Canis lupus familiaris: one gene and its partner. The protein of the gene in region 2 binds, or shares a complex with, the protein of the main gene of each other region. Links are inferred from orthologs where the notes say so. Each region holds a gene or a part of one and is shown on either strand. Other genes may lie near its edges.

The links.
Region 1: the proteins of MDC1 (region 2) and PELI1 are in contact, whole or in part, in a crystal structure (PDB 9IF9), measured with the Homo sapiens proteins. The link is inferred for Canis lupus familiaris from reciprocal best matches to the Homo sapiens genes MDC1 and PELI1. Residues at the interface, in NP_055456.2 of Homo sapiens: Glu761, Asp762, Ser763, Glu764, Thr765, Gln766, Pro767, Phe768, Asp769; in NP_065702.2 of Homo sapiens: Arg104, Ser105, Thr106, Glu107, Thr115, Asp116, Val130, Gln131, Ser132, Thr133, Ile134, Ser135, Arg136, Phe137, Thr185, Asn186, Thr221, Arg222, Ser223, Ala224, Cys247.

The regions. Positions count from the first base shown.
Region 1 is NC_049231.1:65,017,886-65,025,773, forward strand, and holds the end of PELI1 (E3 ubiquitin-protein ligase pellino homolog 1), read right to left. Parts: intron 5,411-7,888; coding exon 5,213-5,410; intron 5,115-5,212; coding exon 4,926-5,114; intron 4,372-4,925; coding exon 3,805-4,371; 3' UTR 1,947-3,804; downstream 1-1,946. UniProt on the Homo sapiens protein: E3 ubiquitin ligase catalyzing the covalent attachment of ubiquitin moieties onto substrate proteins. Involved in the TLR and IL-1 signaling pathways via interaction with the complex containing IRAK kinases and TRAF6.
Region 2 is NC_049233.1:635,015-642,902, reverse strand, and holds part of MDC1 (mediator of DNA damage checkpoint protein 1), read left to right. Parts: intron 1-625; coding exon 626-691; intron 692-856; coding exon 857-949; intron 950-1,526; coding exon 1,527-2,291; intron 2,292-2,406; coding exon 2,407-2,450; intron 2,451-2,928; coding exon 2,929-4,935; intron 4,936-5,013; coding exon 5,014-5,133; intron 5,134-5,261; coding exon 5,262-5,444; intron 5,445-5,659; coding exon 5,660-5,785; intron 5,786-5,896; coding exon 5,897-6,007; intron 6,008-7,278; coding exon 7,279-7,446; 3' UTR 7,447-7,888. UniProt on the Homo sapiens protein: Histone reader protein required for checkpoint-mediated cell cycle arrest in response to DNA damage within both the S phase and G2/M phases of the cell cycle.

The DNA of each region.
Region 1 (7,888 bases), on a different chromosome or scaffold from region 2:
TTATGATAGTCACAGAGAGAGAGAGAGAGAGGCAGAGACACAGGCAGAGGGAGAAGCAGGCTCCATGCACCGGGAGCCTGACGTGGGATTCGATCCCGGGTCTCCAGGATCGCGCCCTGGGCCAAAGGCAGGCGCTAAACCACTGCGCCACCCAGGGATCCCTGCCACCATCATTTCTTTCCAGAGTTACTGCTATGGACTAACTGGTCTCCTCATTATCACTTCAGTCTGTTTGCATTAACTAAAACCTAAGTTGGATCACGTCACTTTCCTACTCAAAATCCTCCCTAGAACCCCCATCTCACTCAGGATAAAAGCCAAGCCTCAGGAGGCAGTCCATGGTCTAGTTTCATCCCTTTACCTCTTTGGCCATACCTATTACTCCTCCCTCTTACACTACATAGCTACGCTTCCATTCTATTATGGAAATATTCCAAGCACACTTTTACTTTAAGACTCTTGCAATTGCTATTCCCTTTGCCTAAATGTTCTCCTCCTAAGTGCAGCTTTCCCTGGCCCTCTCCCCTTTAATATCGCGAACATTCCACACACATCACCCATGGCATTTTGTATCTCCTTTATTTGTCCCTTCAGCACTGTTCACTACCCATCATGCTGTATCTTTTATTTTCTTACTCGTTTCTATCTTCCCCACTAAAACATAAGCCCCAAGAAGGCAGGGATTCTTTTTCCTGTTAAATCACCCAAAGTGGTTTGGTGCAGAGCAGGTATTGAAATATCTGTTGAAAGAATGCATAGATAAAATTTGAGGGCATGGTCTTAAAGTATACATATTTATGAAAGTGGAAGTGGGAGACAGAATAATATAGTTCAGTAAGCAGTATTTTGGTGATCTCATTTGCTACATGCTACAGGGTTAATGCTTGGATCATAAACACAAAAGAATGGATCATAGATCTTTTAGCCAGTGTCCCTAAAGTGGGATGGCACAAGATGATCCATTAGGATGAGGGGCCGAAGTGTTTAAATTTATAAGGTAAATATAATTCTAAGAAACGATGGATTTTCACTGGTGCCCTCACTCACTCAGTCTACGTGTCAGAAGATCATGCATCACACATGGTTCTTGAAGTATCCTGACGGAAGAGTAGAGTAGGAGTATTCATGTTAGATGTAATTATATATTTATTTACATTATTACATATTCCTATCCTATTTTACATGTACCAGAATATTTTTAAAATGATGGAAGTAAGCAATTACAGCTTCAAGATGATAGCCTGGAAAAGGATTTCTCCTTCTGGATATTTACCCTGTCTCATTTCATGACCCTAACATGTTAGATGAAGGAAAATTCCCTAATATAAATTAAGGAACATTTAGATAAGTAAGATCACTTTGATAAAAGAGTTAAGCCGTAAATATTATCTTTCTTTTGAGTATATTTGGGAGACCTAAATAGAACTTTTTCTCCTTGACCAGAATACTGATATCCCCTTAATACCACTGAGTAACTAAGTGTTCTATTAGGTGTTAGCAAAATGACAGAACCAATATTCAAAATGCTTGGATAAAAAAACACCTCATCACTTAAATTACCTGAGTTTTCAAAACTTAAATTTTGACAGAAAATGAACCAGACTTTTCACAGTTGGGAGGAGGGAATTCAGGCACTTTGGGAAGAACATGAACCTTTTATGGTCACCGAAGCACTGTTTAAAGAGTCTAGTATTCAACTTGCAAAAAGACAAATCTCTAGTAGGACTTAACTAAAGCTTTAATTATTCAACCACTGAACAAAGTTCCTTATTAATAAGTAAGAGATGCTTTCCCAAGAGAACCAGAGATTTAAAGTGTTACATTAAATACAAATTCTTCATCTATTTCAAGTGAGTATTTGTGAAGTGGGGGGGTAGATTTGTCCCCAAGTTTTCATTTCTGGTTTCCCATTCTCAGTTATGCAAAAACGAACTCACAGAGACAAATTCAAGTAACTATTTTGAAAAGTATTTACTTAGTTTGAATAAATTAATTGCAAATAAAAATTAGCTACAATATATAGCCTGAATAGAAATGACTAGAACAAGTACAACACAGGACTTGATTTCCTTGCATTAGTCACAAAGCATGTGACTATCTAGAAAACTTCAAAATCAATTATATTTCTTTGAAAAGGGGGTAACAGCAGTTACTGATACATCACAACTAGTAAACTTATAATACAGGTTTCCTGACATGCATTTCCTGAGTGAACCCAAATGATCATTTTAAAAACAAGGAAATTTTGACAAGTTGAATTAAAGTAAAATAGTTCATGGCTTCTAAGCAACAGATTTTTTTTTTTAAACCAAAAGAAAATTCAGAACAGCATAGTAATAGTTACGATAAATTAAAGCTATACTACCACATACGAAAATTTGCTAGAGGCAATTATAACACAACTTTTGAACTAAAGGAAAACAAATCAAAAGATTAAAAAAAAAAAGATTCTCTCTAGTCTAAAAGTGTACTGATTTCTACAAGTGTCACAAAGGGTTTGATGTAGTGCAACTGTCTATACTTCCCTTGTGGTGCATTAAAAAAAAAAGGGCAGGGAGGGAGTGAAGAAACGTTTTCTTGCTTCTTTAAGTGAAGAACTTATTGGAATTAGAGAACAAACATACCATGCAAGTATGTTCTACTCGGCTGTCACTGGTGCTCATCTGCCAACCAAACATTCTCTTGAGTCACACGGTGGCAACTCTCTTTAGGATTCAAAGCCGACAAAGTTAAGGCGGGTCTGCTAGTTTAAAAAAGGGGGGTGGGGCACTATTGTCATTGAACCCTTTATATCTCTCTAGATTTCTTAATGCCTAGGTAAGACCACACGCAGAATAATCAATTAATTATTTCTTTTTATAAAAGCAAATCAAGTCACTCTCTTCCTTGTTAATGTATGCTTTCTCTCATGAGAATGATTTTTTTTTTCTAGAAACAGTGAACAGATGAACCACAGTTTATATCTAAAAAATAAACTTGCCAAATGTTGCTGATACTAAAAACAGATTAAGTTATCATGGGAGAAAAATAGATAATCTAGATTAAATTGCATATTCAAAGGAGCATATAAAATGTTTTTAGCATTAAGTTTTGTTATATACTACACTTGAGAGAAACATTAAGAAAAAACTTTCCTGATTATATTCAATGTGGTTAAAAACAAACAGCTCTTACACAATAATTAATATGAATTTGGTTTTACAAAGTATTCTAATTTACCAAATTCCATATTTAGAAGAGGGTGGGGAGAGAGGCTCTCTTGTCCTTTCTAAGCTTGCAAATCCTTGAGCTATGCTCACTAAACTACCGTTCACACCAAGAGTGTGACACCATCGTTACCATGCTACTCTATCAAGAACATTCTAAGATATTTTCTATAATAAAGATAAATAGAAAAAAGTTAATATACATGTTGCTGTATTTTACAATGTTTGCAACAAACTGTAAACTAACATAGTTTGAACCAACAGTACCCTCAGTTATATAAAACAATTTTTCAACACTGAGGATGGGTGATTCAAAAACACTAAAAGGAAGGCAACAAATTAGACTATGTCTTTTTATCCTCAAAATATATTTTCAAAACTCAGAATTCATAAGTCTGGTACTTTCAGAAATTCTTTTTCTTGAGTTTCCCAGATTTTCTGATCAGAAATTGTTACTATTTATTATAAATGTTTAAAAAAATTCTTCATCTTAATGCAAATGACCAGAGCAGAGAAACTGTGACATGGACAACAGGTTGGAAAACCCAACTCACTTAGCTTATAAATTTATAATGTAGTCCTGGAGGACAACTGTCTGTTAGTCTAGAGGTCCTTGGAAAATAAGTCTGATGTAGCCTTGTTCACCAGCCAACTGATGTGCACAAAAGGGGCAGGCTGCATGAAAAGTATGAGTACCATGAGGAAGCGGGATCTGGGACCAATAGGCAGTTGTCTTTTCTGAACACACATGCCCACATGGGCTGAATGCATGGGTTGGAGGGCCGGCGTCCACATAAAATCCAGCTTCACATCCAAGCCACAGAGGGACATAGGGACCAATAGACCTACACATGGGACATTCACGATCTTTTCCATCACGTTCTTCTTTGTTTCCCCAGTTATGATAGCCATGCACATGGCCGCAGTTTAGGTATACCCATGGCTGTTTTTCATCGACAACATCTTTCCTCTTCATACTAGGAAATGCTAGTGTGTTGAACCCTACAGGGCACTGAGGTCGTGCTGCATTGATTTCCTGTCTTAAAGCTTCTAAATGCTTCACTGTAGGAGTGTGGGAAAGGCCTTCTGCAGTACGCCACAGCAATGTTGCACCGCAGAGGTCAATTAATGAGCCATCTTGTAACTGATTGGTTTCAATTTCCACCTAAAGGAAATAAGAATCGAAAAACACATTCACCATTTTGTTTTCAATTTTTACATGAGAGTTTTGGTCTTACATGCTCCTTACTCAAGAATTGAGATTTCCTATGATTGTTACTAAATATAAGAATGGCAGTCATGAAAAATGTAAGTTTGAAAATCAAAGATAAAATACTGAATAGGAACATATATCTTTTTAACTTTACAGTGAAGATAGTTTATGACTAAAACATCTAGCTACTCAGTAAGTCTAATATTTCCAATATACAACACGGTCAAAGAGATATAAATAGAAAATACACAGTGCTATTTAATTTAGGAAAGCTTAGGTTTTAAAATGTATTAACATAATATGAAAGAACAAATTTTTAAAGTGTCTTGATTCAAACATTAAGATATTATCCTCTAGTTTAATATTTAGTGGTCAGTGTTTGATAGCCTTAAGTACTCTATGTCAGCAAGAGATTTTAAGAGTTTTTGGAAATAGATAACGCATTCAGTCCAACCCACCCTATGTGTTTACTGTAGCTAAATAAGAAGCTCCATCTCAATACTTACCATTTTTCCTCTCTGCTGAGCTGATCTGGTTTCCCGCAGGCTAAATACATTTCCACACACTGATATTTCTCTCCATATTCCAGGCTTGGAGTCTTCTGTGAACCCATTACGTGGATGCATAACAAGAACGCCATTAGTGGTTAAACCATCCATCTGCCCATCTGACGTCTTCCATTTGGCAGCCTTCTCCTAGTAGCAATTAGAATAGTGAGCTTCCATTTCTTTTTGTAATTTGGAAACAGAAGTGGTTATAATATAATGCATCATTTAGGAAAAAAGCTTTTTACCCCAAGAAAGATGTTTTTTGATGAGTCAAATCCTGCAGCATAAATCCGTGCTGTAAAGGGGGGATTCCGTTCACATATGATTCTACAGGCAAATCTTGATATAGTGCTTTGCACTGACTGTGTATCAGAATTACTTTGGCTTCCAGGAACTGTGTCAGTTACTACAAAATCAATGGGACTTTCAGTCGACCGACCAATCTAAAGGAAAAAAGAAATGTCTATAAACCTACTGGAAGGAACACAATGGAAAAATCCATTCAAGAAAGATACAAAAAGGTGAAATCAGTAAGCCTCTGAAATTTCTAGAGCTCAAACTTATACTTAACTCTGAGAGCATCTACACCCTGGAAACCTAATCTGTCATACTTGTTCTGACATGATAATCATTTAGAGCATAGAAGTAAGTGGGAACTTACCATCCAGAATATATAAAACCCTCAGGGAATGCAGAGTTTAGCATGGCTGAGATTTCTAGATGGCTGGAAACTTTAATTTTAACCCCTTTGGAGGGAAATATGCCTAACATGTATTACTCTACCTTCTTCAACAGAATATAGTGAACACACAAGTAAATCTTTTATGATGACTCCAAGACATTGAACTATAAATACCATTTATATTATACTGAATGCAGTGATGTTTCAGGTGCTATAAAGGTGTACAAGAATGCTGATCCTTACATTATGGGCTTATATAGCTTTGCTTTGAGGCCTTATGCATACTTTATAGATATTTTTGTGTGTTTTCTGTCAAGTTGTCAACTCCCATTTCTTGCTATTAGGCATATTTGGTTCTAGCAGCATACCCCTCCTCTAATCAGCCACTATTATTCTGCTAGGGTTGAGGAAAAAAAAAAAAACAAAAACAGACTTCAAAGAATAGTATTTCAAAAGGTTCTTGGTAAGATCTTAAAGGATTCTCCAGGGAGCAAAGAAAAGGAATTTTAGTACATGGCTTATGTGGCCTTTATTTTATATACCTGGATGTCCTTTTTATTTTCTTCCTGTTTCTTGGCCATTATTTTAGAGAGACAAGGTTCCCAGATAAGAGTTTTGATATATGGGTCAGTAAATTAAAACATCTTCAGAGGTACCACTAGCAAATAAACTAATTTTCATTTTGAAAGATGAAAGTTGAGAAGAAAAAAAGAAATAGATGACAGAACTGATTGTCTTGGGGTTTTATTTTATTTTATTTTTTAAAGATTTTACTTATTTATTCATGAGAGACACACACACACACAGAGAAGCAGAGACACAGGCAGAGGGAGAAGCAGGCTCCATGCAGGGAGCCTGATGTGGGACTGGATCCTGGGTCTCCAGGATCACACCCTGGGCTGAAGGCGCCACTATACCGCTGAACCACCTGGGCTGCCCTGTCTCGGGGTTTTAAAGTAAACATTTAAAAATGAAAGAAAAAAGGAAATCTGGAATAGAGGAGAGTGTCACAGGGTTTTAAAGTAAACATTTAAAACTGAGTTCATTCATATATTTGTTATCAAGTAATATAAAACTGAAGTAGATATTTAGAAAAAAACACTGACCCTCTACAAAGATGATGACACTTCAAAGACATTCTTTGCATAGCTGAGTCTTAAGAATTCCTCATTACCACACACTTTTGGAGAAAATCCTTTTAGCATTTTTGTCCTATCATCAAGCATGTCTTTCTTATTTGGATGGTTTTAGAAGAAAACTGGTTAGTTAACAAACTTAAGACTGCATGTCCCTTTTCCTGCTTTTTAGATAACATTTAAAGAAAATGGTCTCAGAAACTTTTGAAACTAAAAATATTTCTAAAAATAAAAGGTTCTTTTAGATCCAAAAAATGCAGGCCCAGGAATGGATTGAGGATTGATATTTAGAATCAAGATATTCAGAAGTGGCACTCAATTGGGAGGGGAGATTGTTCCAGAAGAGCTGATACTTGAGCTGAGTCTTAGAGATTTAAGATATCAAAGCAATATTGGTTAAGATAGGTCAGAAGGAAGAAACCTTAAGTATCCATGAAGAGAAAAAGCCTATGTGATCATGATCAAAGTGCCAAAATGTAACTGTGTTAAGATAAATTTTAACAATTCTTCCTCTAACTGCTACAATTAGCTTTAAAAATATAGAGCTCATGTCATTCCCTCCCACTCTCATTAAAAACCCTAATGGTTCCTTCCTCACAGACTATCCAAACTTCTTAGTTTCTTATTTCTATAATAATTAGAAATTGACTTCACAATTTGCTTCCTACCGATCCAGCTTAGTTTCCTATCATTGCCATTCATATGAAAAGTATATTCTAGCCCCAAGCAGCCCGTAAATCTTCTACTACACCACTGTGTACTTTGTGATCTCTTTTGTCAGAATGCCTCTCTACTGGCTAGACTGACAAAATCATACTCACTTGGATGACAAAAAAAAAAAAAAGTCTGGATAAAAAGTCACTACTGTGACATCTTCCCTCCTCTTCAACCCAATCAGAAACTTGTACTTCACATTTAGATTGCCAGTATAACACCTATGAATATAACCAAATTATAATGTCTCCTTTATTTACTTCATAGTGTCAACCAAATGCAGAGAGTTGGAGTTTAAATAGCTAATGAATTACAATAAATGTTCTTGTTCAGTTTGGAAGGAAGGCAGGCAATCCCAGAATGATTATAAAATCAGTTCCTCAGAGACT
Region 2 (7,888 bases):
CATAGGCTGGGTGGTTTATAAACAATAGAAATTCTTTCTCATAGTTGTGAAGGCTTAGAAGTCTAAGATCAAAGTTCTGGTATGGGGCAGCCCCAGTGGCACAGCAGTTTAGCGCCCCCTGCAGCCCGGGGTGTGATCCTGCTGGAGACCTGGGATCGAGTCCCACGTCGGGCTCCCTGCATGGAGCCTGCTTCTCCCTCTGCCTGTGTCTCTGCCTCTCTCTCTCTCTCAGTCTGTGTCTCTATGAATAAATAAAATCTTAAAAAAAAACAACAAAGTTCTGGTATGATTGTGTTCTGATGAAGACCTACTTCCTTGTTCATAGGCAGCTGTTGTCTCACTGTGTCCTCATATGGTAGAAGGGCACAAGCTAATTGTGGGGTCTCTTTTATAAGGGTACCAATCCCATTCAGTGGGTTCTACCCTCATGACCTAATCATCTCCCAAAGACCTTACCTCCTAATAAAATCACATTGGGGATTAGGTTTCAACATATGAATTTTGGGTGGGATACAAACATTCAGTCCATTGTAGAGGGCTTGGGGTTGGGGAGAAAATGGTAGAGAAAGAGTAAGGAGTTAAGCATGAGATATGACTTATCTATCTTATATTGCTCCCCCATCAGATTCTGAAGACCTGGACCTACAGGCTACCCAGTGCTTTGTGGAGAGAGAGAATCAGAGCCCAGAAGGTGAGGGCATCTGTGTTGTATGGATGTTGGTGCAAGTGGGAGCTGGGAGCCCAGACTGGTGGTCCTTGAAGGTTGTGAAAGCTGGTGTAGGTGGGGCAGGAGGCCAAGAATGGGTCCCCAGAGTTCTGTGGAAGAGCTAGGCGTGAGCCAGCTTTTCTTCTGCAGCAGTCCAGAGCATGGAGGATGAAGCCACTCAGGCCTTCCTGGCTACTCTACCCCAAGAGTCTGGCCCTTCCTATTACAGCTTCCAGGCCTCAGGTATAAGAAACTCTATCCTTCATGCTCCTAACTTGGCATCATTGCTTTTTCTCTTTACATGTTTCTTTCATATTCTTTGACTTTTTACTGACGTTTCTCCATCTCCATCATTTTTAAAGAGGCTGCTATGAGAACTTCTGTATGCATCTTATTTTTTTGGTCCTCTTCCCAACTTTCCTTTAATGACCAGCTTATGATTATGATTATTAGGTTTATTATTCATGAATTTTTTATTTTAAAAATTTTATTGCTTTATTTGAGGGAGAGAAAGAGAGCACACCTGCACGATTTGGGGAAGGGGTGGAGGGAGAGGGAGAAACAGACTCCCTGCTGAGCAGGGAGCCCCACGTGGGGCTCAATCCCAGGACCCAAGATCATGACCTGAGCCGAAGGCAGGCACTTAACCTACTGAACCACCCAGGCATCCCTATTATTCATGAATTTATCTTAATCTTTTCTCATCCTATTTATTACTTTCCCAATCTGCATCTCTCTCTCTCTGTGTGTGTGTCTCTCTGTCTCTATCTCTCTGTCTCTCTGTCTCTCTCTGTCTCTCTCTCCCTGACTCTACTTCCAGGTGCCCTGGATGAGCCGTGGGAAGTCTTGGCAACACAGCCATTCTGTCCAAGAGAGTCTGAGGCCTCTGAGCCCCAGCCCATTGCTGCCCACATTGATGCCCATGGATCTTGCCCCTCTACACCTAGGACAGCACCACAAGCCCAACATCCAGAGAGCCCAGTTCATGCAGAGCCACTGGGGATTCAAGGCAGAGGGATGCAGACTGTGGAGAAAGACATGGGTACACCAAGAGAAGCACCAGAGGAGGTGGCCCCTGAGAGAGGCCCATTGGACAGGGAAACCAAGAAGCTGCCAGCAGGAGAGAGAGAAGATGTGTTAGGAGAAGAGTTAACTAGAGGGATACGGGTGTTAGCTAGAGATAATCAGGGACAAGAGTCTGACCAAAAGGTGAAAAGTGCAAGTACTGAAAGGAACATGGAGAGTTTAAACATAGAAATTGAGATACCCAGGGAGGCACAAGAGAAAGAGACAGAAAAGCAGTCTATTGCAAGAGAAATATTTGAAAGAGAAGCAGAGAAACCAGTAGTAGAGAGAGAGGGTGAGCCAAGTGGATTAGGCATGAAGGTACCAGAAGTAAAACTGGAGAGAGGCCCACAGAGAGGGGAGATAGAGAAAGGGAGCCAAGACCAGGAAGGGCAGGCCTCCAGTCTAACACCAGAGCCTAGTGCAGGGATGGGGGCCCAGCAGGGACTTGCTTCAGTCCCAGAAGCTTCTGGGAGCCAGTCAGGTGGAGCCCCGATGAGCCCCAGCAGGCAGGAGAGAGGTAAGTGAAGGCAGAGGGGAACCTAAGGTGGTACACAGCACTTGTGCTAAACAACCCCTAAGTGGCTGAGTGCTTAGACCCCAGCTACATACACTTTTTTTCACTTTCTGTCTAGGCCACCTGACTTGCAAGGCGCCACCTGCTGAGAAGGCCTCTGTGGTGAGAACTGCTTTTTCTACCTCCCTCTATTTCATTGTTGCCCCTTCCCCTGACCTTGCTTTAATCTCTTCCTTTCTCCATCTTCCCAATTGTCTTCCATTGTCACCACTCCTTAGTTGGCTCTGTACCTTTCCCTTCACACCTATCATTTTCTGTATCTGTTTCCCAAGGTCTGTCTCCCTCTGCCTGACTTAGAATGTCCTTTTTTTTTTTTTTTCATGTCTTTCCCATCTTTTTCCAGCCATCCTTTTATTACCATCATCCATCTCTGGGGAACACTATACTGGCATGAGGATAGGTCTGTGGGAATGAGGACTGCTTCCTCCCTAGGAAGTTCCAAGTCTCATGAAGGGAGGTCACAGACAAGTGAAGTGCCAGGAACACACTCTAACAATAAACAAGTATCAAGAATAGTATCCAAGTACTGTCTCTCTTCTCTCTGCCTCTTCCTCCCTCACTTACTTCTATTTCTCCTCAGGGTGATCAGGAATCCGCAGATGCTCATCTGCCTGCTGCAGTGCCTGAAGCTTCAACCCCACACCACAACCCCCTCCTCTCTCAGAGTCAAAAACATCCTGTGTCTCAGCCCTTCCTTTCTTCCTCTCCATCTTCTTTAGAGCCCATTCCCAGGACCAGGCAAAATGGGAATCAGGAAGTTCCAGGGACTCCTTTATCCTCAGAGATGGAGCCTCTGTACCCAAAATCCAAAGTCAGGCTCCGAGGGTCCTCCAGGAAGACACTCTCTGCAATTTCTTCTTTAGCCCTTGAACCTCACTCAACCATCCCCACAGACCAGCCCCTCTGTCCTGAGCCCACATCTCGGGTCACTCGGGGCAGGACACGTAGGTCCTCTCTGAAGACCCCTGAACTCCTTGTCCCTGAAGTCCAGCCTTCCACCTCCAAAGACCAGTCTGTCACTGCTGAGCCCATATCTCAAGGCAGGACACGTAAATCTGTCAAGGCTCCTGAACCAGTTGTCTCCACAGCCACTCAGAGCAGGGCACTTAGGTCTTCTGTCAAGACTCCCAAAGTAGACATCTCCACAACCCCTGCGCTCCAGCCTTCTACTTCCAAAGACCAGCCTGTCACCCCTGAGCCCACATCTCAGGTCACTTGGGGCAGGACACGTAGGTCCTCTGTCAAGATCCCTGAACCAACTGTCCCCACAGCCCCTGCACTCCAGCCTTCCACCTCTGAAGACCAGTCTGTCATCACTGAGCACACATCTGGGGGCACTCACAGGAGGACACGTAGGTCTTCTGTCAAGACTCCTGAGCCAATTGTCCCAACAGCTCCTGAATTCCAGCCTACTATCCCCAGAGACCAGCCTGTCACCCCTGAGCCCACATCTCAGGTCACTTGGGGCAGGACACGTAGGTCCTCTGTCAAGACCCCTGAACCAACTGTCCCCACAGCTCCTGAACTTCAGCCGTCTACCTCCAAAGACCAGTCTGTCATCACTGAGCCCACATCAGGAGCCACTCACAGCAGGACACACAGGTCTTCTCTCAAGACTCCTAAGCCAACTGTCCCCACAGCCACTGAGCTCCAGCCTACCACCCACAAAGGCCAGCCTGTCACCCCCAAACGTATATCTCAGGGCAGGACACCTAAGTCTTCTAGCAAGACTAACACATCAGTTGTCTCCACAGTCCCTGAGCTCCAGGCTTGTACCCCCACAGACCAGCCTGTCATCCCCAAACTTGCATTTCAGGCCACTCGGGGTAGGACACAAAGGTTCTCTATCGAGACCCCTGAACCAGTTGCCCCCACAGTGCCTGAACCCCAGCCTTCCATCTCCACAGATCAGCCTGTCACTCCTGAGCCCACATCTCGGGCCACTCGGGGCAGGACACATAGGTCCTTTGTCAAGATGCCCCAGCCAATTGAACCCACAGCCCCTGATCTTGAATCTGTCACCCCCACAGATCAACTGTTCTCCCCCAAGGTTCAGGGAAGTCAGGGTAAGATGCTAAGGTCTTCTACAATAAGTGCTGTGCCAGTTCTTACCACTCCTGAATTCCAGCCTTCTGTCCCCACAGACCAGCCTATTCCCCCTGAGCCCATCTCTCAAGCCAATTGCAGCAGGAGGCTGAGGGCCACTAGGAACCATGAGTCCCTTATAGCTCCCATTATCTGTGAGCCCTACTCTGCACTCCCTGAACCTAAATCTCGGTCCTCAAGGAACCAAAGACAAAGAGCAGTGAGAACAGTTGAGTCCCTCAGGACCATTCCCAAGCCGGCCTTTGCCCAGCTTCCTGAAGCCCCCACTCATGCTACCCAGATCTACAAGTTGGAGGCAGCAGGCAGATCGGAGTTCACCCTGGGGCCCCCACCTAAGGCCTCTCAGAGCCACAAGAGGCCTTTGGCTACTGTGGATTCACCCCCACCTCAAAAACGGCACCAAAGAGGAGAAGTCACCCAGGAGACAGTGTTCCTCAAGGAGGAGGAAGAAGATCCAATGGAGAGGCCAAGGGAGGAGGAGGTGAGGACAGGGCCTGACTGAAGCTAGGAAAGGGCTTGGAGGCTCCGAAACTCCTAGCAAGATCTTTCTCAATCCCAGGATGTAGTGGTTCCAGGACCAGGCAAGAGAAAGAGAGACCAAGCAGAGGAGGAGCCCAAGAGAATCCCAAGCCGCAGTCTTAGACGAACCAAACCTAACCAAGAGTCCACAGTCCCCAAAGTAGGAGAGAAGGGGCATGGGGCTTGGTGGGAGGCAGATGTGGGAGGATGGGAGGATACCAACGGGTTTGGAAACAGGCGCTGATGGCATGGGTTGCTGTGTCCAGCTCAGGCTAACTCCCTCCGCAGGTTCTCTTCACAGGAGTGGTGGATGCCCGTGGTGAGCGGGCAGTGCTGGCCCTGGGGGGGAGTCTGGCCAGCTCAGTGGCAGAGGCTTCCCACTTGGTGACTGATCGAGTCCGCCGTACGGTCAAGTTCCTGTGTGCTCTGGGGCGGGGGATTCCCATCCTCTCCTTGGATTGGCTCCACCAGGTGAGAGGCTAGAAGATGACAGAAGAGGTACCATGGCAGAAAACTACTCTTAGGGTGCCCTAGAAAGGGGAAGGAGGGGCCCAGGAAGACAAGGGAGGTGAGTGAAGCAGAAAGCTTAATTCAAAAAACATTTTGTAAGCTCCCTCCAAATGCTAGGTAGAAGAGCTGGGTGGTGAGCTGGGCTGAGCTTTGATGCTGACTGCTACTGTCCTTAGTCCCACAAGGCTGGTTGCTTTTTGCCCCCGGATGAATATGTGGTGACTGATCCTGAGCAGGAGAAGAACTTTGGCTTCAGCCTTCGAGATGCCCTGAGCCGGGCTCGGGAGCAAAGGTTGCTGGAGGTAGGAGGCTGTCTTGTGCCCCATGCTCCAACCCTCCCTCCTGAGGTTCCCCAGCTATTCATAGCCTCTCAGTGCATACATCTGTGGCCTCTACCATTTTCTTTCTCTTAGGGCTATGAGATCCATGTGACTCCAGGAGTCCAGCCACCACCACCTCAGATGGGAGAGATCATCAGCTGCTGTGGAGGCACTGTACTACCCAGCATGCCCCGGTCTTATAAGGTATGGGTGGGAACACAAGTATTGAGGGGATAAGGGAGCCCTGTAGTATGTAAAGGGATAGGAATGAAGGAAAAGTCTGTTGATTCCAAGTGGATTTATTTGTATTGTATTTTAAAAATTTTCAAACATACAGAGAGAACCTTTATTATCAATGAACCTCCATATATCAATCACTCAGAATTAACAAGGTAGTTTAGATTTTGCTACATTTTCTTCATGTATTGTTTTTCTATGCTGAACTAATTTATTTTTTAGTTGTTGTTTTTTTTTTTTTTTAAGATTTATTTATTCATGAGAGACAGAGAGGCAGAGATACAGGTAGAGAGAGAAACAGGCTCCTCCAAGGGAGCCCGATGTGAGACTTGATCTTGGATCCTGCGATCACACCCTGAGCTGCAGGCAGACGCTCAACTGCTGAGCCACTCAGGTGTCCCTTGCTGAACTATTTTAAAGGAAACTGCATACATCATATTATTTCCCCCTATATACTTAAAGTATCCTTTTCTAAGAAATTATGTACTTTTTTTAACGTAATGACAATGCAATTATTGATCCATAACAAAATTAACAATAGCTTCTTAGTCATTTTCTCATACTCCATTAGTCAGATTTCTCCAGTTGGCCAAAAAGTTCTCCTTACAGTTCAAATCAGGATTTAAACAAGGTCTATGTATTGCCACAATTGCATATCTCTTTATTCTCTTTCACTCTAGAAGATCTTCCCCCCACCCAACCCACCCAGGCTTTTTTTTTTTTTTTTTATTCCATTGACTTCCTGCAGAAACTAGGTCAGCTGTTTTTTAGAATGTTCCCGTCTGGGTTTTACTGTTTGCCCCCATGCTGTGTCATTTATCTTGTTCTTTTACATTCCTTATAAACTATAGTTAATTTTAAAAGCTTGAATAGGGATGCCTGAGTGGCTCAGCAGTTTGGCACCTGCCTTCGGCCCAGAGTGTGATCTTGAAGACAGAGGATTGAGTCTCACATCGGGCTCCCTTGCATGGAGCCTGCTTCTCCCTCTGCCTTTGTCTCTGCCTCTCTCTCTGTGTCTCTCATGAATAAATAAATAAAATCTTTAAAATAAAAAAAAATTTTAAATAAAAATAAAAGCTTGAATAAATTCAGGTTTGGCTTTTCTGGCAAGAGTACTTTTGGCAAGTGCTTCATATCAGGGAGTCTATTTCAGTGATGCTGAAACTGATTCGTGGGTTCTGAACCTATTCCTAGAATTCTTTTTCACCCCTGACTTTGTCTTTGCTGTCTTTCCCCAGCCTCAGAGAGTTGTGATTACATGCTCCCAGGACTTCCCTCGATGCTCTATTCCTTTTCGGATTGGGCTGCCCATCCTCTCACCTGAGTTCCTGCTAACAGGAGTGCTAAAGCAGGAAGCCAAGCCAGAGGCGTTCATCTTCTCCACTTTGGAAATGTCATCCTCCTGAAAATGTCACTACAATACTCTTTTCCCTCCCAGACCAGTGAATAAAAGTGTTAGAGTAAGATTTGGAAGAAAGAACCTAGGGCTTTAGAGAGGATTGGGGTAACTTGACCTGACTTATCTTGGAATATTATGGGTAAACAACAGATAGGGAGGTCTGGAGCCACAGATTTCTTAAGTGGTCACTTAGGGTTGGGTGGTACCATACTCAGATATCTTAGCAGAACTGATGTACTTACTGTTCTGGGCAGACACAGTATCCTACCTCCTGTTTGGAAGCCACTTCTTTTCCTCTTACTGGGATCCTTACTCTCCTCTGAAAGATAGTGGAACAGTTTTAGTGTCAGGAACTTGAAGGGATGCTGGGAGTGAGTAAATTTGAGGTTGGAGTTATGGAATCCTCTAGAATATTTTCCTTTCTCCTCCATCGTGTTAGAAGCGTTCTT